Oryzias latipes: one gene and its partner. The protein of the gene in region 1 purifies or fractionates together with the protein of each later gene. This does not show direct contact. Links are inferred from orthologs where the notes say so. Each region holds a gene or a part of one and is shown on either strand. Other genes may lie near its edges. The genes, in order: stk40 and cop1.

Region 1 (16,014 bases):
TCAATCAGCCAGTCTAAATTGGGAATATAGGTGGGCTTGCTGAAATGTCAGCAACTCAGAAATGTGCTTACACACCAAATGAGTCACAAACTGCCTCTTGGAGAGCTCAGTTGCATGTTAAAAGACCATTCCTCCAACAGTCTTAAACAAATGTCACTACTTATGAAGCATTTTGACAGCAAAAGTATCCCAGTGATATTAAAGTCTCCTGTATTATTCAGAGGACATATTTAGGGTGTGATGTCTCACTTATCAAGTTTCACTTACTCATTAACTCCTGACACTGTGAACATGCTGGTTTTGTAATATTTTACACCAATTCTTTGCGTGGAAGCTACTTGTTTACAATAGAAGTACTAGTTTGAGACAGAAAGGGCTATACATCTTATTATCCTAGATTTTTATTTTATTGTAAATTATTTCAAACTTTTTGGACTAGACAATCGATTTTGTTTTCATTCTAATTTTTTTAAGTACATAGTTTTTATCTTAAATTTAGATAAACTTAAATTCCTATTTTTTAAAAATTGCTTTTTGTAAACGTATTCAACTCTTCCAGTACTGAGTACTGTCATGATGTAATGGTTTCATTTTGCAACTTTTATTATGCAGAGAATGTCATCATCGGTGTGCAGCGGCTGTTGCCATTGGTTGTAGGAAGCTGTCAATCAAATCTAAGTGTGCGTCACTTCCGTTGTCAGGTGGTGCTGTCGCTGTGGAAAGATGCGATCAGCTTGGAGCGGAGGCTTTTCTTTAATTGCTCATTTCAGTCTTAGAAGCTAAGCAGCCCGAAAATAAGGCGCCGTGTCGTTCGTCGTTTGAACGAGGAGCTCCCCACACACCCACCGTGGCCGTGAACCAAGAAATGTCCATGTTTTAAAAGCAGTCAACGCAAATCTTTCCCGGTGGTTTTGGCTCGAGGTAAGCGAGGGGGGTCGACTGCGTTGCTATTTAGCTCTCGCGGCACTGTTAGCCAGCTGAAGTGTTGGCTACTTTGTTTAAATGGCCTCCCGGCTGCTACAGACCGCTCCGACTTGACGTTAGCCAGCGTTGTTTGCCAACAAGCATATTTCAACCTTTCTGGTAAACAAAGGAACACGGTGAAGAAGCAGCGTCTGTTTGAGCAGTTTGGTTGAAGCAATGGTCTTAGTTCGCACGGGAAGCTAAACTCTGTCTTCTTTCGCTGCAGTGCAGTGCGTCCCACTTTGTCTGGCTAAGTCAGTGCAACCCGTTTGTAGCCTCGTCTCCGGTCAGTATATTCTGGTTTCGTCTCGTGTTAAGTTTTGCATTCCCTAGCTTGGTGTCGGGTTTTTAAAAATATATATATTAATAAGGACATACAGGAAGAAATGCAGCGTAAAAGGTCAGTGTTTTCGTGTAACACCCACGTCCGCAGTGCAATATTAACCGTTCAAAACAGGATATATTTTAAACATTTCATCTTTCAGTTGGTGGATTGTGGGTTGTCGCTAAGTAAACACCGCGTTAGCGTTGACTCGTCATTGTTCACACTGCCTGCTGCACCAGCACAACTCAAATCTCCAGACTTTGCAACTCAAAATGGCACCAAACAGTGTAATAGTGGCTGTGCATTCGTTGTTATTTTGGTCAGGTGGTTTCGGTTTAACCTTGTGTCCTCCCCGTGGTCCAGTGATCAAGGGCATTTACTCTTTGCAGTAGAATAGGGTTTATTTTAACAAAAGCTATAAAGTAGAGCTCATGAGCTTAAATGTATTTTCCCTAACTCTTTTGTTTGAATATAAATGCAGATGACAGAAGTTGCATTCTTTAATTTGATTAAATTAGTAACTCCATTAAATTATCTATTTTTTGCTGCTCTGATTATTATTATTATTTTTTTTTTTGCAGTCCTTTTTTTTGCAGAGCCAGACAATAGGCATCAAGTCTGGGTGGAAGAAACTCGAGACACCTACATGGCCGTTTTGTTCTGCTACTATTTAAGGAGCCCACATTTCTCGTGGGCACTCGCAGCATGTCTCCTCCTTTTGTATATGATATGATTCAGAGGCTCTATCTGCTCCTGTCCTCCCTCTTGTGCAGGCAGAGGCCGCCTCGCTTGCCAGATCACTGGCTGTGCAGAGGAACACAGTGGTGTCAGAAAGGGATCGCTATGTGCTGTCATCGTGCTGATGTCATTTAGGTCAGTGTGCAGACGTTGGTTGTGTTGACCTTTTGCTTTTAAGATCTGTGTCTGGGTTTGGCTCCACAGCTCTGTAGCAGGTTTTCAGTCGGTAGATAAAATGCCTTGGGTCTGTGTGTTGCGTTGCATATTCTGTCAGTGACTCAGTGAAGTCTTATAAGTCCAAGGTGCATGAGTTACATTTTTTTTTATTTACTGATTATGTGCCGGAATAAAATGGGGCCTGCCGGTTCTTGCCGAAGGTGTTTGCCTAAAATATTTATCAGCCTTCCTACTTCTCGGATGAAAAAAAATATTTGTCTGGAAGTATCGCAAAGCGTGTTTACTTTAGCATCCGCCGGAGGTTCCCACCGGGCAGCTTCACAACAACTGCAAGTCCTGATTGTCTACTTCTTGCATCCAACAGATTTGCACTATTTTCAGCATGACTTTGTGTCACTCTGACTTGCACTACAAATGTTGTCAGAAAACCTCAGTTCATCAGACTCAGTGGGTGATGACTAGTGGAGATGGAGACAGATGGGTGAGAGACATGATGATGACACTGTCTGCTGTCTGGGATCACAAAAAGCCTCATGGAAGTGAGAATTCATACGAGCCCTTACCGACTGCCAACTGTCCAAACCTTGTCTGTGCCCAAAAACACCAACTGGCGAGTGCCTTTGTTGGTTTTGAAACAGGAAGATGGCCTGAGTGGTTGGGAGAAAGGGGGGAAAATATGGAATTTTTTGCACTCATAACAACATGTTTTTATTTTTATGTTAGTTTTCCTCTAAATGCCTTGTTGGTTGTTGAGCCGGATTGTACTTGAAATGGAACTGCTAAACTAAACAGACCCCAGCTGTCATTGTTTTGTTTTTTTTGTATCTGTCATTATCTCTTATTTTGCTTAAGTTATTTTCCAGTTTTGTTGTTATTTTTGGTTATTCCACATATTGAACAAGTGAGCAACGTCTAAAGAAAACTTTGGAAGACTGCGGGATGAATCATTCCTTTCAGTTTAGTGCACTACTTCCCCATTACTGGAAGCAGATGGGGTTTCACCTCACGGTAACTCAGTATTAAGAAAACAAACCTTTCACATCTGATTTCTGGGAGGTGCTTGCGATCTGGCGTGCTGAGTTCAGCTTGTTAAATGTTGATGCACTGTCACTGCTTAGGGTTCCATTTAAATGTGCTTCCTTACTGTTGTGCAGAGCTCTCGCTTTGTTGGGACATGTAGGTTTTATTTGTTTTTGTTTTTTTAGGGGCATCTGCATAGATAAGACGGCTGAAAAGATTCTGAGTTAAGCATGCAGATTAAGGGCATAAGATTTTTTCTTTTTTTCTAAACCCACGTCCACTGAGGCCGGAACAGATTAGAGAATCAAATTTAAACGCTTCAGTTTCAAGAATGTTGTGCAATGGCCTTTTATTTGCGTGCAAGTGCCCTCCGTTTTAAATTGCAGATTGTGACACGCTCTCTTTGCTTTTGGGGGGGATTGAATGTGAGGTGTTGCCCTTGCCGCCTGCAGCCATTATTCTAAATGGAGCTGTAATGGCCTCATCTTCACACTGAGGTGGTTAAATGTGAGGGGAGGGATTTTTTTTTGTAATGGGTTAGGTGGAGCTGCCCTTAACTTTACCCCCTTCACACCTTTTATTTTCATGAAGCATTACTTTCTAAGAAACTACATTTGTAAACTCTTAAAAAGTTGTCTGGAAATCAATTATTAAAACGTCATCCATTCACAGTTTGAAGCCCCTTGCATGCACTTGAACTTTACTATCTTTATCCCTTGAACTAATCAGATTTGTTCTCCCGCAGAGCTCCAGGATGTCCAAGCGGCGCTCGTCAGAGAGGGGGGCTGGAGAGACATCAGGCAGAACCAGCAAGCTGCAGTGCACAGGGATATCTGGCAGTAATGCCAAGAGGGCCGGCCCCTTCATCCTTGGTATGGAAGCGAGCTGCTTTTTGTTGTTTTTTTTTCTTTCAGAAAAGTCGCAGAAACCTATTGAGGTAGAAATGTGTGTGGTTCAAAACTGTAACCCTGCGTGAGTCAGAAACGGAGGAAATGATTCTGTGAGGTTTTGGGGTGTCTTGTGTTTGCACAATGGACGCTGATGCAGGGCTAAGACAAGAATGCTAAGAATGTCGCTGATCCCTATGACATTTGCCAGAAAGGCTTCAGTGTGGGTCGATGCAAGGCTTCTTCCTAGAAAATGTGTTTTAATCATTTTTTTCAAACACAAGACATCTACACCACAAAACCTCCTCATAATTTCTAAATTTTGCACAAAAAAACGTATTTTACACTAAGGCTGAGTGCAAACTCAGGACATAGAAAGTTGTGGTGTGAGCACACACTTCAGCATGTAGGCTGCCTTTTGGTCTCACAGCTGTTGCTTTTCTAATCCTTGCAGGACCGCGCCTAGGCAACTCACCAGTACCGAGCATAGTGCAGTGTTTGGCCAGAAAAGATGGCACAGATGATTTCTATCAGCTCAAAGTAAGTTTGGTTTCAGACTCGCATTATTGTTTTGTTGGTTTGGTCATGCTTGCCCTTCAAAAGAACAGTAAAAATGAAAAGATTTTTTTTAATTTGAAATGGTTTATTTCAAGCAATCAAGTAAGAATAATACACAAAAACAATACAATCAGCTGTTATACATTCATACAAAGACCTATACCAAACCTAGGATAATTAGACATAAAATTAAATATTGCTTGAAAGGGAGTGGAAGGAAGGAAATTTATATAATCCCACCCCAGTTCTACCATTTTTATTACATGATTTATCAACTTTTATCGGACAAAATTAAGAATCCTTAGGTATCAATAAAGCACATGACAAAGATGAATTGCTTAATTATTATGTAAAAAATAGACATAACTATTTTCAAATAGTTATGTATCCAATGCATTGTGTGATGGTTTGGCACGCATGTCTTGGTGCAGATTTTATCGCTTCTTTTTCAGTCAAAGCAGCACAGTAGGCACTAAAGGCTCCATACCGTTGGAGTGCTCATCTTACTTTAAACAATCCCAGCAGCTTTGATCATTTAGACTTTTGAACTCCATGATTGGTCCTTCAATAGTTTAATGAATCTGCAAAAAGGTCAATTGAAGCTCAGTGGTTTTCTTGTGTTTCTGTGGTGTGTCCCTGACAGATCCTGACGCTGGAGGAGCGGGTGGACTCTGCTGGGGAGACCCAGGAGGAGAGGCAGGGGAAGATGCTGCTGCACACAGAGTATTCTCTCCTTTCTTTGTTGTACAACCAGGATGGGGTGGTCCACCATCATGGTCTTTTCCAGGTACTTTAGAACAGTTTAAGCTACATTTCTGTTAATGGCTTTGCAATATGTTTTTTAGCACTGAATGTATGTGATTGGCACAAGGAGGGTGTTTCACTCAGTGCCGTGTAGGCGTGCATTCTGTGTAATTGAGATTTGTAAATGCAGTAACATTACCATAGAGAAGTGGCTGCCTTTTTCAGTTTTCAGTGTAGCTTCACAGCTCAAGTACAAGAAGTTGTACAATCTCACTGTCAGTACTCCACAGTTGGCTTGTATTTACTTCAGCCTTTCATTTTTTTTTCCATGTCAAGTTAGATATTCATTAAAAGCAATATTTACCTGCGGCATCCTTTCACAATGACCTCCCCCACCTGCCTGTCTGTCTGCTCCTTCCTTTACTGTTGTAATTCTTTCAGCATTCTCTCCTTCTGTCATTCTGTATATTCCCTCCCCTGTGTAAGCTTGATATAAAGAAGGGTTCAATGTGTATCTTAAACCTGAAGCTTGATACACAAATCAATCATTTAGAAGCCACAAAGACTTCTAAGTGGCAGATTAGAAAAGAGGCAGGGGACTCTCTGTTGGTTCCAAAAATGCCACTGAAGCCTAAGAAATGCACTCACAGCTGATGGACGTAACCTGTTCTATAACAGTACTCCTACAGTTGTTTTACTTCATCATTTTTTCGTTTTTAGCATTAATCCATTTGCTGGACCTTCCAAGTTTGTGCATTTTTTAAAATTCGTTTTGTTTTCCAACACAAAATCCTTCAGAAACATTTTAGTGTCTTTTCTAAGTTTTTTCTGACCCTTCTTTTTAATCTTTGTCCTCCAGGACCGAGCCTGTGAAATCGTGGAAGACCTCGAGGCCAACAAAATGCGAAAGATGAAGAAGCGCATCTGCCTCGTTTTGGACTGTTTGTGTGCCCATGACTTCAGCGATAAAACGGCAGATCTAATAAACCTCCAGCATTACGTTATAAAGGAGAAGCGCCTGAGTGAGCGCGAGGCCATAGTCATTTTCTACGATGTGGTTCGTGTGGTGGAGGCCCTCCATAAGGTAAGCTCTATGATATGGCGAACTGTTAAAGAAAAGCATCACTTTTAAATGTTCTGGGTTTTTTTCCATCAATGTTTTGTTTCAACTTGGAGGAAGAAAAAAATTGTTGTGCTGGTTGCATATCTAGATGATTACTGGTTTCCCAGGGTTGTGTGCCACTCCCTGATACAAACTGATTCTTGCCATGCCAGCAATTCACCAAACACGGTGTGAACATACTGATGTTTTCTTTCTCCTGTTTTTTTCCTTTGCAGAAAAACATTGTTCACAGAGACCTCAAACTTGGAAATATGGTGCTGAACAAACGGTAAGTTTAGTAAATCATCCAAGCCTCTGGGTCAGTTCTCTGTGAAATAACCTATCCGGTGGTGGGTCAAATTCTTTCATCTGACAGTAAAATCAGTATTAGGAGCCCATAGTGCTGCTCTGCTGTGCTTGAATTTTTGGCTTTGTCTGCCTGTTGTGTAATGGTTTATGAATCATAACCCACGGTTGGTTTTGAGTAACAAACCCCATTTCTTAATAGAGCACAGACTGCTCCGGTGTCAACGGGACTGCTTAGGATTCAGGGTGTTTCTGAAGTGTTTGCAGCTCATGCAGGATCACCTCTATTCTGATGACTGAGAGACCAAATATCTGCAGATCAGATGAGCCACAAAAGTTTAAGTCTAGCTATGGTGAAATGCAGTCCAGTCCCAGTAAAGTACCATATTTTTCAGCGTATAAGTCATGTTTTTTGCGTAGTTTTTTTGCGTAGTTATACTCAGGTGCGACTTAATGTTATTTTTTTTTTAAACTAAATAGCAACATGCCACTAGAGGGCACTGTAGTTTGTATCAGCATAAACTACTGTCAGCAGCAAAGAAGAATCTCTGCTCAGTCTTAGTTGCGTTCACAGCTGTTTGCACTACATCTCCCATGATTCATTGGGTTAAAGTGACAGCGTCTCAGCGCACAATGAGTCTTCCTTGTAAAACGTCTTAAAACCACGATGAACACGCTTTGAACAGTTTTTAAATCTTCTAACTTAACTTTTATTACATCATTTAGAAAAAACATCTGCAACTTCCAGCTTTTTCTGCCACAATTATCACAAAAATGCATGTGAGATTGCAGAGGGACTGTAGATCAATACATCACAGACTGAGTTTCTCCTTTTTTTACATTTTTGGATGCTGGTGTGCCGCAGGATTTTTGTCAAGGTTAAAGTGTCGTGGCTCATAAAAGGTTGAAAAACACCGTGCTAGATGGCTATGTTTCATGAACCTAAATAAGGATCAAAGTGGTGCAGTATTGAAGCCTGTATATGTTCAGTTTATAATTGTTACTTATTCCATAATTATGATTAGCCCTTCAAGACTAAATGTCTATTCTTGGTCCCATATTTTGTTAAATTTCTCCTAAAGGGCGACTTCTATATGTTTTTTTTCCGTTTTTATTATTTTTTTAATGCATTATTTTGGCTCCTGTGACTTGTATTTCGGAGCGACTTATAGTCCGACAAATACAGTATCTAAGTAAAACAAAGGGCGTAGAAAAACAACCTTTTTGGAATTCATGGCAGCAAAATCCGCCATCTAATGTTCATGCAAGCGTTTGCACTATTGCAGATGCTGATGGGTTTGTTGGGTTGTACAATGTGCGTTTGTTCACACTAACGGTTTGGTTTGTTAACCTGTTGTGTTTTACGAGCATAAAGTACAGCAATAAAACTGAATAGCCTTCAACATTACAAACGATGAGCCTCTTTTCTTTCTCTTTAAAAAATGCCTTTCATTATTTGCTCTCCGTAGATAAACACGGAACAAAACAAGCATCTTCTGCAGCAACGGGAAAAGATTTGGTCGATAAATCTTTCGGTAATTCTGGCACTCTGTCAAAATTGCTCAAACCTGGAAGGCTTTTCTTTTAACTGCATGCAATGCATTTGTATGCTTTTAGTCAGCAAACGTAACCCTCCCATTCAGCAGCTGTATTAGTAGCAGAGCTCAGTGTTTTGGCTGGTAGAGGGGGGTGGTGGGGAGAGAAGCAGACAGAATGCTCCGTCCCAGCTGGAGACAAAGGAGAGGCCTGCCAAAGGCCCCCATAGCTCAGCGCTGACTCACAACAGAGTGCAAGTCACGCACGCACTCACACTCATCATTTTTCGCCTGTGTTCTGCTTTTGTTCCTTTTTTTTTTTTTGTTTCTTCTCTCTTTCTACTGAAATCCCTCTTCCACTTCCACTATCTTTTTAGTGTATCCCCATTGCCAAATTTGTCACTTTCTCTTCTTCTTTATTTCTCGTACTTCCTTATTCTTACGTCTGTCTCCTTACCAAACATGTGGATGAATGTACAGTCAGTGTGGGAACACGGTCAGTTTGTGGCGCCGTGCTTTAGAAAGAAACAAAAAAACAAAATCCCCCCCTCACTCATGCTGCTTATCACACCTCTTGGAAATGTACCAGTTGCATCAAAAAGCTCAGCAGTTTGAGCAAGAATGATGCGATTTCCTCTTGCTAAGCCAGCTTTGTAAAAACAGGATGTCATTACTCAACCTGCAGGGACAGAAAAAACGTATACCGGTATACTTTCTGATTTCAATGATTTGCAAAATGTATTTGCGTCTCCCTTAGATTTACTGTTGTATCTATTACCATATACACATAGAAGCTGGATTTTTTTAGCAGGATTTTCTTCCTAGTTTCATGATGCAATTTCATTTTTAGTCTGGGTTACATAAAATCCTAACAATGTTGGTCTTATAAAGCTGTGAGGAAATAACTGTGGCTGCTCTTTAACTTTTCATATTCTCATCAGAACAGACCAGCTGACCAGAAGGGCAGGAAGCAGAAGTCATTAGGGCTGCTTAGGTTCAGTTTCCTGATTTATCAAAGGTCACATGACCAGGAAGCGGCAACGGTGTGGTCACCCCACAATCCAGTCACTCTTGTCTCACGGGGCAAACATGCAATTTCAAAAAAGGTCATGATGCAGACAAGACGAAGTGTCAGAAAGGAATTTCAATGTTCCAAAACCGTTTACATTTTTGCCAGGCCGTCTTATGTTAACAGGGTTTTGACTTGCATGACTTGTGAAACTGGAAAGATTTGTGGATCAAATATTCTACAAACAAGGTTAAGATGAGAGCATTTGGTTTCAGCTAGTTTTAGTGAGAATGCTTGGCTCCAGCCAGCGTTTGTGACTGGAGTAATGACAGTGTGTGATGGAGCAGGCTGTGAAAGTGAGACTGAATAAGGGAAGCTGCTGACCTCATGCTTTTTGGAAAGCGGATGTGGGTGAAAAGTGTGATTGTGAGAGGACATTTTTGTGTTGTGAGTTCTTTTTTTAAAAAGGCCAGTTTTGAGCACGTATGAGAAGCTTTATAAGTGATTGTGGATCTACTTCAAGTTGTTTTACATACCGGAACATATGTATTGTCCAAATAAGATCTTTGATTTAAAAACTCAGTTCAGTCACTTGGATTTGGTAAAATCCCATTTCTGTGTGTCATAGTCAAACACAAGTGACCTTAATAACTGTGTTTTAGTTTAATTTTTTTTGTCTGTGAACTCCAAATTCATTCAAATTCAAATTTTTTTTTGTTAGTCTGATGCTACGTTCACACCAGGCACGTGCAGGACGTTCAAGATCGCACTGAACACGGGTTCTTGAAGGTGCTTTTAGTCTATGATGTTCATACTGGATTGTCGCATCCCGATACAAGCACATGTTGGAAAAGGCTTGGTGTGAAATGTTGAAGCAGTGCAAATTTCACAAATCTTGCTCCAGGATTTTTCTGTCACAGCTCTATTCCGATATATGGAAGACTTGGTGACATGTAATTCCAGCCGGGCACAAACCTTTAAATAAATTCTCCTTCATGATCAATTTTGGCACCTCCGTGAATGAAAAGAGACACAACCCATAGGTCCCTAACCAAATCAGAGTCCCTGCTTAGTCCACATTTAACTGGTTTAACTTAAACACACGTTCAATGGTGATGGTGATGGTGATGCGTTTTGTACGTAGAGCCCAAAAACTGACTTTCAAACTTGCGCAGCGACGCGTGCTACTTTCCACGCAGACCCCTGAAATGCGGATATTTTGATTGGAAGTGGCTGCATGAACGTATGTTATTGAGACCTGGGGTGAACTTTCTTTGGTCTACCTTAAAACTAAAAAAGGCACTTTATTTAATATCATTTATATAAATGAAACACCAAAAAATCCCTCAAGTAATTAGAAATATGGGTTGCTGAAGTGTTTATCAAGATTTTTATTAAACAAGCGAATTGAACTTAAAGATGTGTTATTATTGTCGGGGTTCATTGATTCTAAACTTGCAAAAGGAATCTTTTACTGTTAGTACAATCGTTATTGTGTTATCTGTAGTTATTATTTACTTTTAGCCAGAGTGTTGCAAATTCTGTGTGGACATGAGGGATATTTCGTGTGCATGGTTGAATGAAGTGTAATCTTAATGTTGTTGTTTGTTGCTAATGAAAGTTCACTGCTGTGTAAATATGTTGCAATCTCCAGTCAGCCTTGGGATATTGAGGTCTGCTAGCAAGTGGCTCTACAATCCTGCATGTGCTTAACCAGTTGTTCCCTTGGTTCTCTTATGGGTGGCGCAGTCATCAGTAATGCCGTCTGGTCACTAGTAATGTGAATTTTAGGATTGATTTTGAATTGAGTTGATTTGAATTGCGTTGTAGAAATCCAAATCATTCATTGGCCCGTCGTGTTTGTGTGCTTGAAGGACTCATCGCATCACGATCACCAACTTCTGCCTGGGAAAGCACCTGGTGAGCGAGAACGACCTGCTGAAAGACCAGAGAGGAAGCCCGGCCTACATCAGTCCTGATGTATTAAGTAGTGAGTACAAATATTTCATGCGGTTTCCGAAAACGTCGTAAAGACTGGTTTTTGACCACCAAGCAGAATTAAAAGCTTATCTGACGGGTAGATGTTGGAAGAATAACTTCGACATTGTGTCCAAAGATTAAGTAAGTACAACAAATTAAAAGATGGCGGCGATACATAGTGTCCAAAACTGTGGACCGGAAACTTCTGGTTGATAAGTCACACACGTGTGGTTGTAGGGGTGATCCTGAGATTATTTTTACTGCATGTGTGGTTCAACAGGCCTAGATTTTCCAACTATTAGGCAACAGGAGGGCTATGTCGCAACCTGGGACCAGCTAAAGTGTTGCCGCCATGATTGTGCATTTGTTTGTATGCAAAGGAAACGCTCTTTGTATAAAGCAGAGATCCGTTCCTGCTGTTTACCTTCCCGGTGCTCAGTGTCACAGAACATGCACACACAACCAACCCTGATGCAGGATCACACTCCTCCATGAAACGCATTAGCAGCATCGGTTTCATTAATGATTTCCCAAACAGCATTACTGGAACCAGGTGTAGAAAGGCCGTATCTGTCTCGCCCAACCAGTTGAAAAGGAGATAAAAGCTCAGTGAACGTATCAGCATAACGTGACAGGAACACAATTAAACAGAGCTTCAATGAGTCATGCACAGATGACTCACTAGAGGGAAACTACTCCCTTCCCCCTACCTCTATATGTGTGTCTGTGTGTGTTTTGTGTCACAAGCTTTAATATAATTGTCGGCTGCTGTATCTCCTGCCACCCAGACTGTAGCAACACTTCTTTTGGTAATGCACAGCCATGGGTTCCACCCTCATCTGCTGTGTCCATGTTGGGCTGACATCTGCTTTATGTTCCAAGCTTTCCATGCAAAAGCAGCTTTCTGATCATGGAATCATGTTTGTAAAGATTTCCCCCAAGCACAGTGGGTGGGGTCATTGACTGCTTTCATTCATTGATACTGTCATGACCAGGATTGGAATTCAAAGGGTCAACTTTTGTCTTTTACCCAGGTCAAGAAACATGTTTTTTGGACTGTTCCATCCACACTTTCCATAGGGGAGTACACACTCTGACCTGACCTGTTTGTCTATCTTTTTCCAGGTCGACCGTACCGCGGTAAACCCAGTGACATGTGGGCTCTTGGCGTGGTCCTCTTTACTATGCTTTATGGCCAATTCCCCTTTTATGACAGTGCACCCCAAGAACTCTTCCGCAAAATAAAGGCGGCAGAGTACTCCATCCCAGAGTGAGTATTTCATACAAATACTGGTTACTCGTTGCTCTGATAAGACCCCCACTGTTCATCCACAAACGACCAAAGGAATTATTGCAATTGCTGTTTTTTGTTGTTGTTTTTTTTTATTAAATATGACTCCACCAAGAATACATTTGACTCAAACATGTTTTTTCTCTTCCAATTTTTTTAAATAGGTTTGGAACTTATTTCTATCAACGAACTAAAAAGTACATGTTGTATCCGCTGTGTTTCTCTTAAAATAAGCTGACTTTTCCTGTTCCCTCTGCCTCCTCACAGGGATGGTCGTGTGTCAGAGAACACGGTGTGCCTCATCCGAAAGCTGCTCGTTCTGGACCCACAGCAAAGGCTGACGGCAGGAGAGGTGCTGGAGTCCCTGGGTGCCATCATATCCTCATGGTAATGGCCCCCCCTGCTGGATGTTTTGTCATTTGTTCCTCACAGTGCCAACTATTTTCAAAGTGGTCTTTTAAATATGATAAAGCCCTTTTTAGCCCAAATAAAAAAAAACACATTGTCGTTATCTGAGACATAGTTTCTGCAGAGTGACAGTAGTTCTTTAGAACAACTACAGGTTGTGGGTGGGACAATTGGCGCAGAGTGCTTGGAGAGCTTGGAGCACGAAGTTTGTGGCCTGCCAAGCATATTTTCACAATTTGGCAATTTTTTCCCACAGCATTTTTTCATCTGCTCCTGATTCACAATAATTAGAATAAAGAAATACTCAGGAATGCAATTTGGAGTTTAATTTTCTTTATAAATGTTCTCCATCATCAGAAAAATGCCACAAGAACATGTTAACACAATTTTTCTTGAATTGACCCTTTAAAGTTAAAAATGTAATCCAACTGCAGACCTTATTAGTTATATTTAAAGCCAGAAACACAGATTTCCCAGAACACTTACAAAAGCTTTTTATTTTTACCAGAGGAGATGAAAATCATAGATTTGATTTCAAACAACAGTTTGCTCAAACAGCACTAAAGCAAAAGTGTTTGTCTATAGCAGGGGTAAACATGTGGAATTCCCAGGAGAATCAGCTAAAAAGTTGTCAAAATATTATTCAATGAAAACGGATGTATAAAGCAAAGAACGTACAAACTTGACTGTTGGATGGAATGTTTGGAATGTATGTTGTAAATCAATCAACGGTATGTATTTACTGTGTTTATGGTGAAATTTGAGCACAGGTGATGCTGTGAGAAATGTAAATATGATGCAATGTTTGAAAGGGAGCAAACAATTATAATGGTTGTATTCTTCAATTCTGCTCCTTTCCAATCATAAACATTTTCAAAAATTTACGACAAACATGTAAACATGTTGGACATTCAATAATTTTCATGAAAGGAACAAATAAATCAATGAAAAAAAAAAGAAAAATAAAAGTTTGCTGCATTTTACCAGAACCTGTCATTCAGGTTCATGTATGGAATTGTTGTTTTTTTTCTATTGTTTTTTTGAATCTCTGACTCCAAGTTAGATGCTAGTTTTGATACTCATGTTTTTCTATGAATTCAATCACAGGCAGTCTGTTTCTTCAATGAGTGGCCCCCTGCAAGTGGTTCCAGACATTGACGATCAGATCAATAATCCAGAACATTTACAAGAGGTGAGATCTGCCTGTCTATACTCATCAGCCCAAAACAGTGTGAGACGCCTTGTGCCTGTTTGACGCTAACCTTTGGAGGCCATTTTTGGATGTTCAGAAGTCAAAGTTCCTTTTTCTTCTCAGGCCAAGGCGCTTGAGGAGTCTTCGCAGTACGAGTTTGAGAACTACATGCGTCAGCAGCTGCTGCTGGCTGAAGAGAAGAACACTATCCATGAAGCTAAGAGCTGCACCAACAACCGGCATTTTGGCAGCATCCCCCCCGTCAGGCGTTTAGGCCACGATGCCCAACCTGTCAGCCCGCTAGACGCCGCCATCCTAGCTCAACGTTTCCTTCGGAAAAAGCCCCCAGCTACCCATTAAAGGCGTCTCGGGCTCAACGTGAACTGAAGATGCCCGCTGAGGCCAAAGCTCCTCGAGAAGGAAAAGCCCCAGAACTCTACAGGCAGACACCCCCCCCACCAGACGCGGGGTGTTGGCTATGCTCGGTAGAATTACGGTGGGCATCAGACCAAACTTCCACGTCAGAGCTCTACCTTCCCTTTGGGCGAACACTGTTGGAAACCCGGAAAAGCCCGATGGAGGCTCTGAACCAAAGGCCCCTCACCCCTTCGGTCCCACCCCCTCCACACACACACACACACACCCCATGACACAGTATCACATAGAGCTGGCACATGGCTTTGCCTGCAGTGTTAAAGAAACTACAAACTGTGTGCTCCGCCCCCTTCTTTGTAACACTTCCTCTTAATTCTGGGTTCTCTGTGCAACAGAGGTCCAGGACATGTAGCAAACCCCTTAACATAGTGGCAAAGAGCATTGCTTCAAATCGGTTCACTCGATTTTTACGGATGTCACTTCAGGATACCTCCATTCCACCTTTCTTCTCCTTCTCTTTCCTGTTTTCTTGTATTGAAAACAACTATGTCCATAACTCTGACTTTAAATCAATCTACCTCTTTGTCCCTCTCCTGTTGATAAGCGACCCTCCCTGCTCTGAGACAAGGGATTGTAACAACTGAGTCCTGATGCCACCAGTGACGTAAAGCATTCATGTTTTTTTTTTGGTTTTTTTGGGGGGGTCACAAAATGCTTTGAAGCCTTTTTGGTGGCCCCTAGAAATCTGAATAAGCTTTTTTTTTTTTGTCATTTGCCTCAATAAGTAGCATTTTTATCCCTGTAGTCCCATTGAAAGAAAGAACTCGATCCTTTTGGAATCTTGGCAATCCATTGTCTCCCGCTTTTCCTCATCCCTGTGGAAATTGATTTTTAGCATGTAGGCAGCTAGCAAGAGATGCCTGGAAGTCATGATGCCAAGAACTGAATGAGAAGCTGCTAGATCCTCCACGCCAAGGCATATTGATGGTAACTCTTCATCACTATGACGATGATCAGGCGCTGTTTGCGTTGCCAAAAATCATGTCTTAAATCTACTCTTAGCCAAGGAAACTGGTACTTACAGGCTCAGTCAGAATTCAGTGGCTTCCAGGCAACGTTTCTGTTTCTTCTTACTATCACAGCCGGCTGGACAAGTGTTCCTCGTATGAATGTGAACAGTCCTTCTCTCCCTTTGGTGCATCTGCAGTATCCCTGAGCGCGTACATGTGTTCAGACCAGGAGTCCGTGGAGCGGTTCTGTCTGCGACCCTAAGCTATCCTCCGCCCCCCCCCTTCGTGTTCTGTTATCTGGCCTGCCTCGGCGGCAGACACTGTGAAAACCAGAGCAGGCCCGGCCGCGGCGGGCCTGACTGAATGTTTATGGAAATGACGTGAATGCTTTAAG
Region 2 (16,014 bases), on another chromosome or scaffold:
AACGTTTTTTTCTGCTCCTAAATCTCAACGATTTAAAGAATAAAGACATATTGGGAAATGCTTCATTTTTAGTTAGGAATATCCTCCATTCATGAGGAAAATGAACACCAAAAGCATGATTTTCACTGGAGTGGGACTTTAAATTTAAGCCCAACTTTGAACTTTAACATACTGGTTTACAGTAGAGATGCAACGATTCTCGTTCCTTTGGTTTAATGGTGTAACATAGTTTTTGATCGAGAATTGTGACATCCCTGGTTGTTATCTAATTAGATCAAATGATGTCCGATTCATAGGTGAAGTTCACAGTGTTCACTTTGAACATCCTTGACACACTTTGCTGTGTTTGCTGTGTTCTTACCTATCCCAACCCTTTACTCTAGTAAACGAGCTGATCCTTAAACACAAGCAAAGATCAGAGGAGAAGAGGCTAAAATTAGACCATCCTGTAAGTACATTTCATAAATGCCTTTATTTCTGTTTTTGTTTTTCTGGTATTTTCCAACCTGCCAGTGACTTCTCTGTGTTTCTGCGTTGTCGTCCACATGGTAGAACGGTTCTCGGTGGCAGGTCTTCCAGGATGTTTTGAGTCCTGATCAGGAAAACCTGGATCTGGCAAATGTCAATCTGATGTTGGAGCTTTTGGTTCAGAAGAAAAAGCAGCTGGAAGCTGTAAGTGTTTCTGTTTCTGTGGTTTTAAGGTTCTTTGCTTCTCCATTCATGGTAACACTTTGGTAAAAGGCAAAGTTCAGAAAAGAAATTACAAAGAAAAGCAGCCACGTAAGGATTGGGTTCATCATACATGATGCAAGTAGATTAATGCGGTTACATATGAATATCTTCTATAAAGTGATTCCAAAGTAAAAGTATGTTTGCACATCTTAAAACTATTGAGCCCAATATGTTAAAGAAAATAAAAGTACAAGTTTAGGTAAGTAAAAAATATCTTTGAATATTGTTTGTCTTCGGAATAACTTTTTTTAGACGGTTAAGGTATGATGGAGATTGATCCCGTTGGTCCAGTAGCGGAGTAAGAAATTTGCATTAAAAAGTCAAAAACTGATGTGATGTTTGAATATTACCCTTGAAAATGTTTATTTATGTATTTCTTTATTCAAGCATTCCTGTTAAATGAGATTCAGTTTGAGCTTTCTCCTTCCAGTAAGAGTATATGTACACCGTGAGCTTAACAATACTTCTAGGAAGTGAAAGTATACAACGGCAGATAGAAATATTTTAAATGTCATTTCCAAGGGTTGTCTTGAAACTAACGGCAGATGAAGCTGAGACGATTGTTATCGCTGGCTGTTTGTAGACACAGACGACGTGTGAAGGATCAGCGATTAATGGAAACCCGGCATATCCGCTTTTTATTTGGTCAGTTTGTAAAAAGGGGAAGTCGAAGCCGCAGCTTAATCTTGTTGACTTCTCATCTGCAGCATCAGCATTGCTTAAGAGCCGCAACAAGTTACAAAATCTTAAGCTGCTAATAAATTGCATTTGTTTCTTTTGTTTAAACTTTAAAAAAAACATTTATTTTTTGGTACTTGAATGTGCCTTTTTCCCTAAAAATGTCTCTTCGAGGAAATAAAATCAACTCCCTAAATGTTTGATTGGATTTAGTTTAATAACCTTTAAATTATTTCTCCAGTTCTCTGTAATGTCGTGTAAATGTTTCCACCATATTTATGCTTTTTGTAACTTGACAATGCGGGTTGTGAACCACCCCGGATCCACTCCCCTGTGGATCCAAAGAATTAAGGACTTTGTTGTAGCTGTGTGCCACCCACCTACAGGGCACAACAAATTCCAGTAAATTCCCCTGTTATCCTTCTCCGTTTTGAAACAAGCCTTTAAAAAATGAATGTCTCACTGAGTAGCATATCTTCAAACTGAAGCTGCACTCTTTTTTTTAATGATCTAAACTCAGAAGTTCTTTTTTTTCTTTTAAAATGTCCCATTGAATCTTGCTAAACATAAAAAACAAAAAAAACAAAGCTAAATTTGTTCCATTTTTGCTATGTTTTTGGTGTTGACAATTCTTTTCCAATGTCAAAGAAGAATAATTGTGATTAGTTAATGTACTTTTATTGTTGTTTTAATTTTTGGTGGTTGTGTTTATCTGCATTAGGAATCACAAGCAGCCCAACGACAGATCCTCATGGAGTTCCTTAAAGAAGCTCGGAAAAATAAAAAAGAGGTACAGAGATGTTGTTACAGAAGCAATTTATGGTGATAAAATAGAAAAAAGAAGAAAGTTTTTTAGATGTTTATTCATGAAAGTTAACCTGAAATCATTTTATTTGTGTTTTCGTCTTAAACAACAGCAATTAGACCAACTTCAGAAAGAGCTCAACTTCCTTGAAGAGGACATTAAGCGTGTCGAGGTACGTTCTCTAGGTTCCTTTTTCCAAACCTGCCATTCCCACTGCTTCCTGGAGTCAAACCAGTACCAGGAAGAAAGACCCATTTTGATTAAAAAATGAAATTTGGGCGCTTTTAAAATGTTCTTGTAGCATCTATCTAATGATGGAGGACATATATTAAGAAAAAAACCTCAATTTTATTTCGGACTATTTCAAATTTGAAAACACTTGCCAAGCACAGGCATTTTCTTTGATACGACTGAAGTTGTCCTTAGGCTCCATATCAAATATAAACCAATCCGTTTCTCCTAACAACAGAAACAAACAGCAGTCTAACCGTTTTTATTTTTTATTTCAACATGTACAGGAAATGAGCGGACTTCACTCCCCAGTGATGGAAGCAGAGTGTACGGTGCCAAACGTCGAGACGCCCTCTCCAGGTCCAAGGTACCGAAACCTAAAAATCCTATCCAAAAGGAAGTCAATACAGAAAAAAACCTTTGGCATCATTCTTTACAAAAGTGTCCTCCTATTTTTGGATGTTGACGTGTGATGAAAACATTTTGTGTGTGTTTTTTTTTCTCCTGTGTAGTTGTAGTAGCATCATTGAGCCTGCAGATTACACGCAGCCTCCAGGATTTGGTGGAAGCACCCAGGTATGAACTTTGCCTAAAAATGTTGATTGTTTATTGCAGAATAAAAATTTCCTGAGCTGTATTCTTTTAATTGTTTGTCTAGGGAAAACGACAGACGTGGTACAACAGCACGTTAGCGTCGAGGAGGAAGAGACTGACGGCTCATTTTGATGATCTTGAGCAATGCTACTTCTCAAGCAAAATGTCACGCATCACAGGTGCATTTATTTATGCAGCAAAGGAAACTGTATTTTTTAATAGAGAAAACAAAATTATTTTGGGATAATTTCATGTAGTTTCTAATGTCACATAAAGTATCAGTAAGATTTAGGGTTGAAATAAGGATTTAATCCCTATTCTTCCATTACCCTTCCAATTGTAGAGGCACTTGGAGGCGTAGGGTTGTCGCAATCTGAGGTAGTTCCGTGTTAGACGTTAACATTTAAGTGTAATTAATGACTTTTTGTTTTAGCATGACCTTTTTAAAGTAAAAAAACAAAACCATGTCAATTTCTGGGCGCTGGCCGTAGCTGACCGGCGACTATTGATGACGTCATCGAGTGGTAGTAATGTAGTAACCCCATTTTTCCATAACTCTCCGTTTGGAGGGCTAAATTTAGGGGTAGGGAGAAGCCGCAGAGGAAGAATTCTGATTCGGCCAAGGTTTCTGTTGTTTTGCTCACTGTTTGGGTTTTTTCCGCTGACATTTTTTGTCCTGTCTTCAGATGAGGGTAGGACCTTAAACCAACTGGATGACTTCATGGAGTGTTTGTCCAAATTCACACGCTACAACACTGTGCGGCCACTGGCCACACTGTCCTATGCCAGCGACCTCTATAATGGCTCCAGCATTGTCTCCAGGTACAAAAGACCAAATACTAAGCTTGTACTTTACTCTCAGGATTTATAGAATCTTATTTGGGGGAAAATTGTAATATTGACCCTTTAACACCAGAGATGTTGCTGGTGACACCTAAATAACACGTTATTTGATATACCGTAACTCTTGGACTATTTACGCGATCAACGGGAAACAGCTGATTTTTGTTGATCGCTGAAGGAGTTCATTACTGTGAAGTGTTGCACGTCGGCGCAAAGCTGCTTTTTCTCCGCTGCACTTGTAATCCACTTAACTTGCGTTAACTCTGTAAACAGTTGAAGAGTGAAAGCAGGGGTGCTCGTAACATCGATCACGATTGAACAGTCGATTGCGATGTGATGGTAAGCCATCAAAGATAAATGTATTTTTAAAAATCTGTCAGAAAATCATCATCCTCGGCGTGAAATACGCCCCTTGATTGGCATGCAGAACGGCCAATTGAACATCCTCTGAACATATGTCACTGTGTTTAAAAACACTGAGCTTCTTTTTACTTTTTTTCTTCTTTCTCTGAGAAACCCGACACACAGCGGGGCCGGCAAAGCCCTGGTTTCCTGGGGAGGACCCCCGCGGCCCGCAGGAGGGTTTCTAAACCTGTCCCTGTTTGCGTGCCTCCTCGATTAGAAGCGTAGCCCCGTCTGACCCAGCCGTCCTGCCACGGCGCCTGCTGCCGGGCCCGCGGTTCAAGCCCACTCAGGCAGCAGTGTCTTTAAGCACGGAGCAGGGGCCGCCGTTGGCTCAGCCTTGGTTAACCCACCCGCGCTTTAGGAATGTCATGGTCCCCCCATTTTTACAGCAGAGCATGAAACGTGACTGTCAATGCTTTCTGTATCCATAATGAAACGCTTTGTCTGTTCAAATTATGTATTACTACAAAAAGAATAATACACACAGCAAAGCTATCTTCTCCAATATATATATTTATATAGATATATATCTATATATATATAGATATATATCTATATAAATCTATATATATATATATCTATATATATATATATATATATATATAGAGAGAGAGAGAGATAGATAGATAGATAGATAGATATCGATAGATAGATAGATAGATATCGATAGATAGATAGATATCTATAGATAGATATCGATAGATAGATAGATAGATATCTATATATCTATATATATATATATATATATATATATATATATATATATATATAGATATATATATAGATATATAGATATAGATATATAGATATATAGATATATATATATAGATATATAGATATATATAGATATATAGATATCTATCTATCTATCGATATCTATCTATAGATATATATATATATATAGATATCTATCTATCTATCGATATCTATCTATAGATATATATATATATATATATCTATAGAGATATATATATATATATCTATAGAGATATATATATATATATATCTATAGATATATATATATATATATATATATATATATATATATATATATATATATATATATATATATATATATATATATATATATATATATATATAAAAAATATAGGACGGCAGTTTAGCTCAAGGGGTAGAGCAGGTCGTCCAACAACCGAAGGGCTGGAGGATCGATCCCCGCTCCTCCCAGCCAGCTGTCGCCCCCCGGGCGCGGCCAGCCCACAGCCCACCGCCACCACAGGGAATGGGTCAAATGCGGAGAAAGAATTTCCCCATTGTGGAATAAATAAATTAAAATGATTAATTATTATTATTTATATATTACTGTAATAGAAAGAATTGAAACACTGGCACTAACGTGCTGGAGTTGAAGGGTTAAAGCCAAAATTCCGATTTTGTTGTCGTAGGAAACGATTACCGTACCTAAAATGAGGGAGAAGTCTGATCACTGACTCCATCTTCGCGTGTGTTTCAGTATCGAGTTTGACCGTGACTGTGACTACTTTGCCATTGCTGGTGTGACCAAGAAGATCAAGGTGTTTGAGTACGGCACCGTGATCCAGGATGCCGTGGACATCCACTATCCTGTGAACGAAATGACCTGCAATTCCAAAATCAGGTAAAGGAATTCATTCCTCGACAGAGACTAGGTTTTGCTTAAAACTGTGCTCCATGAATGAAAAAAAAAAAAGAATTTCAGATATGCACATATGAACAGGAAAAAAAAAAATTTCTGCCAGCTTTGGTTGACAAGAATCTACATTTGAAGATCTGTTTCTTCATTGCAGCTGCATCAGCTGGAGTAGTTATCATAAGAACCTTCTGGCTAGCAGCGATTATGAGGGAACCGTCATTCTGTGGGATGGATTCACCGGCCAGCGGTCCAAAGTCTACCAGGTGTGATGACTAGAGTTGAAAGTGTTGTGATAAAACTGTTCATATCCTTTTATCTTCTGACTGATTAGCCTAATCTGCAGTGACACCCTCCACTGTTGTTCTTTTCAGGAACATGAAAAAAGGTGTTGGAGTGTCGACTTTAATCTGATGGACCCCAAACTTTTAGCTTCCGGCTCTGATGATGCTAAAGGTAAAGATTTGGCCCTCGTCTGAACACGTCATCCTCATCAATCGTGTTAGAGATTTCCAACATTCTTTTTCAGTAAAGCTGTGGTCAACCAATCTGGACAACTCAGTAGCGAGCATCGAGGCTAAAGCTAACGTATGCTGCGTTAAATTTAGCCCAACATCCAGGTATCATCTGGCATTCGGCTGTGCAGGTAATTTCTTCAATCCTCACTTTATCTGCTTATTTTTCAGTTGGTTTAGTGTTTTTCTGCATTTGTTAAGAGGTTATATTAATTGAAATATCTTCCCACATCTACTTTAGTTATTCTGTTTCTGTATTCTGCAAGAAGGAACTAAACTCTGCTCTTATTTTGGTTCATGTTGTGTGCTTATTGAATAAAGCGTTTGGCAAAATCCTTAACAGCTTTTGTCGTCAATATAATATTACTAAATTAATTAAAAAACTGTAAAAGTGGAATCGTTCAAATTACCTTCAACAACCCCAACTCAAATTATAAACCACTCACTTTTATCACAAGTATTTTGGGGGTCTAGTTTCTCTTCTGAAATGCTTGTACTCTATAAAATTAAAGATTTTGTTAAAAATAAAATGATATAATTTTCATATGTTCTTCAGTCAAAGTTGGGTAGGGAGGTATGATTGTCATCGGCTGCATTTCTGAATTTCTTTGGTTGGTAACCATAAAATATTACATTTCAGAATTCTATGGGCACTAAACTCTCGTCATTCAGGAATTATAATAATTCTTTAAAAATGTCTTTGGAGACTTTTTAAGTCAATTTTAGTGCATTCTTCTACCAGATCTTTTTCATAGTTTGATTTTTGCTCTGTAAAGAAATTCTAGAGGTAATTTCTTAAGTTGTTTTTTTTTTTTACTTCTAATTTTTCACAACAAAAAGCACTTTTTTTTAACCCCTGAAAATGTTGCATAATGTAGGTGGAATTTATATATAAAAAAAGTCAAAACAGACAAGCTTTTAGAAAGAAAAGAGAACTGTTGCTCTCGCTTAAGATTTTGCAATTTCGGCTATTTAGATACAAAATACAAATTGATTTTAAACAAAGAGAGAGAGAGCCTAACTCCTTTTAACAGAACTGGATACAAACAGTGTTTTATTCTTTTTAGAAAGTAAAGGGACAATGTAGTGTCACGCTAACATATTCAAGGTTTTTCCTCAGTTAAGGAGCATTAAAAATGTTTTCTGTCATTGCTATATAATATTGTATTTCTTTTATTTTATTCAGCATCACATCTCAACTGTTTTTCTTTTTGTTTGTTTGAAAGACAATTAATCCTGAACAATCCAAAAGAACTTTATTATGTCCTGACAGAAGAATATCTATGAATGATCATAGATATTTTATTATAGGGGTATTCGTGTAAGTATTCTAACTCTGAGCAGAAACTGTGTGGTACTTTGCTGTAAGTTTTCATTCTTGGTTTACGTTCGGAGTGCAGCTAGGAGATTGGAAAATAAAAGACTAAAATAATTTTCTTTTTTTAGTACCAAAACTAACCACAGAGTTGCAGATCAGGAAAAAATGTAATGTTTGTGGTTTAATACCATCATGTTTTTATTGACAGAAAGCAACAACAGTTGTGCTTCATCATTTTCTGGCCCAATTTGAACATTTTGTGAAATTTATCTCTTTTGTCCGCAGACCACTGTGTCCACTACTACGATCTCCGCAACACTAAGCAGCCAATCATGGTTTTCAAAGGCCACAGGAAGGCCGTGTCCTACGCTAAGTTTGTAAATGGGGAAGAAATCGTTTCTGCGTAAGTCTGTTTACCTTTGCTTCCATCTTTAATGTTTTAAGTAATCGTGTATTTGTTTTTAAATGTTAAATATTTTAGTATATTTTAAAAATGCAATGACAGACAACGTCTTACTGCTTAACGTTTTCTATTAAGGACTTTAATTTTATTAATTTTAAAACTTTTATGTTAATAATACAATTAATAGAGATCATCCTGTGCTAGTGGCAAAACAGATCAACAAATATTTAACATTTAGTCTGGTTCCTATATAATCCTATATAACACATGAACAGAGGTGAGAAAAACACATTTTAAAGCTTTAAACGAGAGCCGCTAAGTTTATTTCTTTCACAGAAGCTAAATTGATTAAAATACGCTTTCATATTTTTAGCAGCTTTCTTGCATATTTAGACTTCTCAAACAATGCTTTTAAAACTGTAAAGAAACTACTTAATAACCAAAACTAAAAAAATAGGATAAAGAAGGATTTGTGCACACACATATAAAGAGTACATGTTCTGTGTTCATAGTTCGACGGACAGCCAGCTGAAGCTTTGGAACGTCAACAAACCTCACTGCCTGCGCTCCTTTAAGGGTCACATCAACGAGAAGAACTTTGTTGGACTGGCGTCAAATGGAGACTATGTTGCCTGTGGTATACGTTCATTTGAAACGTTGACGCTGATGTTTAAAGACTAGCCATTAATATAAAGTGTTTTTATGTCCATTTTAGGAAGTGAGAACAACTCCCTGTACCTGTATTACAAAGGACTTTCCAAAACACTGTTAACATTCAAGTTCGACACGGTGAAGAGTGTTTTGGACAAAGACAAGAAAGAAGATGACACCAATGAGTTTGTGAGTGCCGTCTGCTGGAGAGCCCTGCCTGATGGAGTAAGTGTCACTTCACTGGTCAACTATACTTTTTTCAATTCTGCCATTGTAAGCAATACTTTAAGGCTTTTGTCAATATTTTAAACAAGGCTTTCATTTACATAAAATACCTCTGATTTATTCAAAATGATTTGCTTTTAGGAGTCAAATGTTCTCATTGCTGCGAACAGTCAAGGAACTATCAAGGTTGGTGTTTTAAAAAATATACAAAAAAGATGTTTTCTTTTTAATAGTACCGTTAAATGTTTACAGCTCTTAAAAACATCTGTTTGAGTTTTTTTTTATTATTCCAGTATCAGTGCATAATTCCTCCCATTTAATGAGAATTTACCAGGAAAAAAAATACAATTGCAATTATTTGGGGGGGGGGGGGGGGGGAGGGGGAGTGGTTTGTCAAAAAATTGCTTAATAAAGAAAAAAATGTCTTTAAAACATCTAAATGTCTGTATCTATTCCTCCCTGACAGGTTCTTGAACTTGTCTGAATTCCTGCCAGGCTTGGGCTATCATGACCTCTATCTTTAGGGGGGCAGGGGTCAGCCGTGAATGGGGAGATCGCCTGCTGATCAACGGAGGAGCAAAAAGAAACGGAATCCATCTGTTATTTCACTGAGCTTTGTGTGCGTGTGACATCAGACAAATGTCGGCCCGTGGCACCAGTACAGCAGGCGGAGATGTGCCGGCGTTTGAGCTTTACCGTTAAAGAACCAAGCTGGGGCACAAAACAGAGGAAAGCGGTTTTGTTCCTAATCCGTCACAGTTTGTCAGCCACAATACAACACCTCTCTCTGGTTTTATACCAAATCTTATTATTTTTTTACTTTTGACTTTTTAACTCTTTAACCATTTCTGTCAAAGGCAATTCAGATAAATGCAACCTCCTGCATTTTGTCTTTTAAAGGCCAAAGCACAAAACAAAACATGCAAACTTAAATTCCCCCTCTGTCAGCTGTCCAGTTTATTCCCTATTTGTGTTGTTCTTTTTGTTGTATATTTTGTTTGTTTTTCCAGATTGGGAGACAGCAGGGTTTTTTTTTTTTTTTTTAATAAAGGTGACTTGAATTTCATTTTGTCAAGTGTACAGCAGTTTTTCTGGCAAAAGCAACGTAGCATCTCAGCGTATCTTTTTCTCAGAACAAAATGATACTCCACGTGTTTGTTTCTATAACCACAGCTATTGTTGCTTGATTCAACCTGCAGTTAGTGGAACTGGACTTTTTGATGGATTAGGACTGTTGTAAACTGATAACCACAAAGCCTCAGATGAAGTTCTTTCAAAGTAGCACTGGGATGTTTCTTTTTATTTTGTTTTTAATGCACAACTGCAGGCATGAACTGAGTATCATTGCATTTTGGGCGCCGCTACCAGTTTTTGTGGAGTTCCACAAGGACATGTAAAAAAAGAATAATGGAAGGATTGAAGAAGCCACCAGGATCTGCCAATTTTATGATTGATGAATAAGAGAGGTGTTTTGTATTTGCCTAACAATAAATTATTTAAAACATTTTGGTATGTGTGCTTTTTGAAAGTCTTTGATATTCTCTTTAATTACAATGCAATAGGTTGCTTGGAAAATATGACAAACCAGCTTTTTTTTTTTAGTACAAATGAGGAAATCTAAGATAAAAAGTTGAGGTTAGCACATACGTAATTGTACTAAGGTGAGGTAAACTTTGTCCTCAGAGAGGAAATTTGTTCCTGGCCACAGAGCTACTTACCTGAATGAGAATATTAACAGTACACAGAACAAATAATTAAAACGGGAATATACAGAATTTCCAACAGACCTGACTCACCGTTAAGAACACGAATAATAAAATGTTTAATTGAAACCTTTACCACAATGCTGAAAATAATTTCAGTAAAATGCATTATCAATTCATAAAAGGAAAAAAAATCTACTGTTGTTAAAACTAGGGACTAAGTATTACCCAAAATGATAAATACATATAATTATGCTCCTAAAAGCAAGCAAGAAGAAGGCCGATTTTATTTCTAGATGTCAAGTACTATATTTAAAAAGATATTGAAAGCCTATTAGAATGCCAGAGCTGTATTACCAAATACTGTATATTTTTTGTTTTTACCCTTAGTATAGTAATGTTTTTCTATATTTAATTTTTAGTCTCATTTTGAAAAACCAACATACAGATGGATAAACTGTACTTTATGCAGAGCTATACTAAAATAATATTTTCAGCTCTCGACTCAAGAAAAAAATACAAAATTGCATTTCTCTTTTGACTTTTCAGTACAATTTACCAGAAAAATTACATTCTTTAAATTATAATAGCCTGAAAATTAATGTAAAAAGGAAAAACGGTGTTTTTCCGCTTAGGTTCATCTGTTGAAGTTGTCGCAATGCCTACAACACAAACAAAAGTTCAACACAAATAAATGGAAAGCCAAACGAATTTATGTGCTAGTAACACTATACGCAGCCGTTCAAAAATAAACAAAAATATGGAACTTAACTATCTTACAAAGTACACTGTGTTGTGTATTATTTTTAGAAACCGCGTACAAAGATAAAACGTGTTTTTTCGTAAATCTTCAATCGAAAAGATTTTTGTCAACTGAAAAATACGCCAAAGGAAACTGGTGAGCGGAACTTATGTTTTACTGTTGTTTTCCAAATACATGCGGAGTAGTTTAGCGGATGGACAACTAGCTAGCAAACGGAAACAAAGCCGGACTCTAAAGCAAGTTCTGATGTTACCGAGTCAAACATTTGAGAGTACTTAGAGATAACCTTTCAGTGTTAACATTTTTACAGTCTAGAGCTTTGTGACGAAGATGGGAGTACCCAAATTTTACCGTTGGATCTCGGAGCGCTACCCCTGTCTCAGTGAAGTTGTCAAGGAACATCAGGTAGGACCGAGCAGTCAGGGTCGATTGTTTCACAATTCACACCTTTAGCATAGCTAGCCGTTTGCTACAGTTGGAGGCGAAACTTTGAGCCGCCTTTGCTCACTCTTAAGAGCATTATTTTTGAAAAAATAAATAAATAAATAATGCCACACGTGATAAAATAATTCTAAACGCACGACATACCAGACTGACATTCAGTACGACGTACGTCGTTTATATTCCTACACTAAGTTTAGCGCCCTAATGTTTTATTTGAGTTACTTTAGTGAGTCATACACTCTAAATATACAAATTTTATGAATGTATTGCTTTTTATTTGTAATTTCAATAAAATCTACATATTAATAATAATGAAGCCTAATAATTGTAAACAGGTAGAGCGTTATAATGTTAATAGCTGTTTAGTAGCCATAGTTAACAAATGGTGTGAAGACTTGCACTAGTTTGAACATTTTTTTCTTTTAACATTTAAAAAAATATCAATTTAACGTAAGTGATTCAGATTTTTGAGCGGAAGTTGCTATTTCAGTCTCCAAACAGTCATTTCATCAGACTTGTTCAGTCTGGCGCTCCTTGTGTTGGAAAGCTGTCAGTTGTTTTCTATTTTGTAACTGTTTGGTGAAGGAGAAGTCTTAACCAAAGCCCAACTGACAAAAGTGTGGGGTATTCTGTTTCTTTATTTTTTTAATTTATTTGTTTATTTATTTTTGCTTTTTCGTTTTAAAATTTTTAGAGCAATTTCTTGTAGCTGGCCGGAGGACTTCAGATAAACGATTTCAATAAATCCATAAAAGACGTCATTACTCCCAGTTCCTTAAAGCGTTTTGGGTCTTTTTTTCTTTCAGATTTGGGCTGCTCAATACTATAATAATGAAAATTATTATTCCACAAAATAAAAACTGTAAATATAATCATTTTTTTAAATGACAAATTGGTGTTACAAAAGTAAAAAAAAAACCTGCTCTACAATGGTTTGTGACTGTCTAGGCTTATTAAAATCAGTAAGCAAACACCAAAATTTCAGCTGTGCAAGCACTAAAATCCATGTCAGCTTATTTCCCTAAGTTTTTACTCTCCATTTTTATGTTGTTGTTTTTTTTAAACTATAATTTCAGTAATTGGGTGGCGATTCACAGCGATAATGTTTTGTTTTGAACGATCCGATTCACTGACATAAAATGGATCCAAGACATCTTTAGCCAAAACTTCAACCATTGTCACTCAGAGATAAATACCTGGGCACTGAACGGTGCTGGCAAATGTTTCCAGATTTCTTGTTTTCCTTACAATTTTGAATCAATTTGATAAGTTTTATAGGTCGATTGGATTACCAACTTGCCTCAGACAGATCCATCTGGTTGGATTGTTGGAGTATAATAATAATAAAAATAATAATAAGATTGGATTGGTTTTCTCTGCACTTTTCTAAAATTCAAGGCGCTTACAGTGGAGCGCTTTGAGCACAGTATGGCACCAGTGTAGCCACACTGGAGACTAGGAGGGTGAAGTGTATTGCCCAAGGACACAACAACAGTTGACTGGGGGGGAGCGGGGATTGAACTGCCAACCCTGCGATCATTGGCCGACCTGAATTGCCTTTGATGAATTGATTAAGTTGATTTATTGGTTACACCCCTAATAACTGGGTATTTATTAAATACTAACACCTAAGATTATTTTTGCATCTGTTATTAGTGTTGTCTCCCAGGAATTTGGGACAGGGGATTTCTGGAGACGGTTAAATGTTTTTAGTAGAAAAATAAAACAAATCAAAAAAACAAATTATTAGTATTTGAGAACATATACATGCATGACACTGTATTAATATTATTATTTTTATTATTATTATTTTTTTGCTTTCTTCTCTCAGATTCCAGAGTTCGACAATCTCTACCTGGATATGAATGGCATCATCCACCAGTGCTCCCACCCAAATGATGAGGACGTTCACTTCCGCATCTCTGAGGAAAAGATTTTCGCTGACATTTTCCATTACTTGGAGGTGCTCTTCAGAATCATCAAGCCTCGCAAGGTCTTCTTCATGGCAGTGGATGGTGTGGCACCCAGGGCCAAGATGAACCAGCAGAGAGGACGCAGATTCAGGTAGAGACACAGTCAGAAGCCCAGATATCCATCTTTCTTTTTTCTATCACCAATAATTTAGAAATCAGATTTAGAATTACTTATCTTTGTTTTTTATTGTCATTTCTTTCCCTATTATGTGTACTTTTTTTGTTGAAGCTATTTTTTTTTTAATTCAAACATGCCTTTATTATAGAAACCAAGTCATACCTTGAATCACTTTCTGTTATTTTAACCTCAATCTACCATCTCAAATAAAAAAATGTATTAAGTTATATTTTGTCTTTGCTTTGGCTACTCTGCCTGGAAGACTCCTTTTAAAAATATAAATCTCTTCATTGTTTTCATTGTGCTGGTATTCAGGTCTGCCAAAGAAGCAGAGGATAAGATAAAAAAAGCTTTGGATAAAGGAGAGGTGCTTCCTACAGAAGCTCGCTTCGACTCCAACTGTATCACTCCCGGTATGTTTAATCTGAAGCTTTTCACTCTTTGGTCATCGACCCCATTGGATCAAAATCTATAAAATATATGAAGTAGTTTCATTTTTTGACACAGCCGTCTGTAACTGCTGCTTTAGCTGGCACCATATGAAGTTGCCAATCATTTATGTTAGAAGAGAACAAATTAGGAACGATGAACCAGTTTGAACCTTTGAAGATTCTTCTGTGCATCAAGATCAAACCTTATTTTCTATGATGACTTTAAAACTATGAACATTTTATCTCCCAGCATATCCTTTATGGATGTATATATATATTAGGGCTGCACGATATGAGCAAAACTTGCGATGTGCGATATTAGTGATCAATATTGCGATAACGATATAATTTGCGGTATATAAACAAATAGCAAAACAACCAAAAACATCATTACCATGTCATTTCAACAGTTTAAAAAAATGATACTCCAAATGACCCTTGTTGACGTAGGATGCAAACATCTAACATAAAAGGGCTCATCTGATTGGTCAACATCGGAAAAGGTCCATCCAATTGGTCAAATGCATAAATGGATTTATTTGATTCGTTAAATGCTTCAAGCTGCCATAGGATTGTGTTAGCACATTTAAGGTAACCATTTATTGCGATTTTTGCTGACTTTTGCAATATGGATATTGCACTGCTTGATATTGCGATAACGATAAATTTGCGGTAAATTGTGCAGGCCTAATATATATATGTATAAATATATATATTTACGTCTTTCATGAGTGACTATGCTCTTTAAGGTGTCCATTATCTTAAGGGAAACCTCGTTGTCTGATACAAATTTGTAACCAATGTTGCCATTTTGCGTTAAGCCGCTCACTCCAGGTAATAACAACAGCAGAAATGGAATTATAGTGTATTTCACACATTTAGCTATGTACTTTTTTCAGGCACTGACTTCATGGCGAGACTTCAAGAGCAGCTTAAGTACTTTGTCCACAACAAGCTCTCCACTGACAAGCTCTGGCACAATGTCAAAGTCTACTTGTCTGGTCACGAGGTGAAGTGCTTTACATTCTTTCCAACTTGCTGACTGATTGATAGCTTCAGTGAAGGTTGCTTGTTTTGACTTTGTGGGGGCATCTTCTTCTTTTTAAGACACCGGGAGAGGGAGAACACAAAATCATGGAGTTTATTCGCTCTGAGAACTCCAAACCCAGTCATGATCCTAACACCCGGCACTGCCTGTATGGCCTGGATGCTGACCTGGTAAGGTTCGGAAATCTCTAAACAATGTTTTTGGAGCCCTAATAGAGTAATTTGCTTTGCTTTTTAACCTGTTTTCCAGATTATGTTGGGTTTAACCAGCCATGAGCCGCACTTCTCTCTGCTCAGAGAGGAGGTTCGCTTTGGAGGGAAGAAATCACAGAAAAGGTTTGGTGTTCCTCTCGATTGTTTTTCTCACAAGTCCAAGTTTTCTTTAGTATAAAAAGTACAATTATGTTTTTACATTTTAGCTTCTCTTTCAGATTCTTCTTTATCTTTGTTTTAAACTCTCCTTTTTGTCTTCGCCTCCAGGATAACGGCTCCTGAAGAGACGACT

Evidence for each region.
Region 2: the proteins of stk40 (region 1) and cop1 purify together in Homo sapiens (affinity purification with mass spectrometry; 3 studies listed by BioGRID and IntAct, counting the BioPlex papers as one, with this or other methods). This does not show direct contact. The link is inferred for Oryzias latipes from reciprocal best matches to the Homo sapiens genes STK40 and COP1.

What each region holds. Positions count from the first base shown.
Region 1 is NC_019874.2:23,402,236-23,418,249, forward strand, and holds part of stk40 (serine/threonine-protein kinase 40), read left to right. Parts: intron 1-691; exon of another isoform or gene 692-921; intron 922-2,061; exon of another isoform or gene 2,062-2,161; intron 2,162-3,968; 5' UTR 3,969-3,977; coding exon 3,978-4,095; intron 4,096-4,564; coding exon 4,565-4,650; intron 4,651-5,311; coding exon 5,312-5,455; intron 5,456-6,271; coding exon 6,272-6,496; intron 6,497-6,750; coding exon 6,751-6,803; intron 6,804-11,238; coding exon 11,239-11,354; intron 11,355-12,469; coding exon 12,470-12,614; intron 12,615-12,902; coding exon 12,903-13,022; intron 13,023-14,150; coding exon 14,151-14,235; intron 14,236-14,358; coding exon 14,359-14,595; 3' UTR 14,596-16,014. UniProt on the Homo sapiens protein: May be a negative regulator of NF-kappa-B and p53-mediated gene transcription.
Region 2 is NC_019875.2:19,743,135-19,759,148, reverse strand, and holds the end of cop1 (E3 ubiquitin-protein ligase RFWD2), read left to right. Parts: intron 1-383; coding exon 384-448; intron 449-552; coding exon 553-672; intron 673-2,131; coding exon 2,132-2,200; intron 2,201-2,327; coding exon 2,328-2,387; intron 2,388-2,733; coding exon 2,734-2,813; intron 2,814-2,958; coding exon 2,959-3,022; intron 3,023-3,104; coding exon 3,105-3,219; intron 3,220-3,726; coding exon 3,727-3,862; intron 3,863-5,762; coding exon 5,763-5,906; intron 5,907-6,075; coding exon 6,076-6,184; intron 6,185-6,292; coding exon 6,293-6,374; intron 6,375-6,447; coding exon 6,448-6,564; intron 6,565-8,036; coding exon 8,037-8,154; intron 8,155-8,666; coding exon 8,667-8,791; intron 8,792-8,869; coding exon 8,870-9,030; intron 9,031-9,171; coding exon 9,172-9,216; intron 9,217-9,496; coding exon 9,497-9,514; 3' UTR 9,515-10,536; downstream 10,537-16,014. Other genes in the region: xrn1 (5'-3' exoribonuclease 1), read left to right, coding at 11,827-11,901, 13,772-14,004, 14,347-14,444, 15,362-15,471, 15,570-15,680, 15,760-15,845, 15,990-16,014. UniProt on the Homo sapiens protein: E3 ubiquitin-protein ligase that mediates ubiquitination and subsequent proteasomal degradation of target proteins.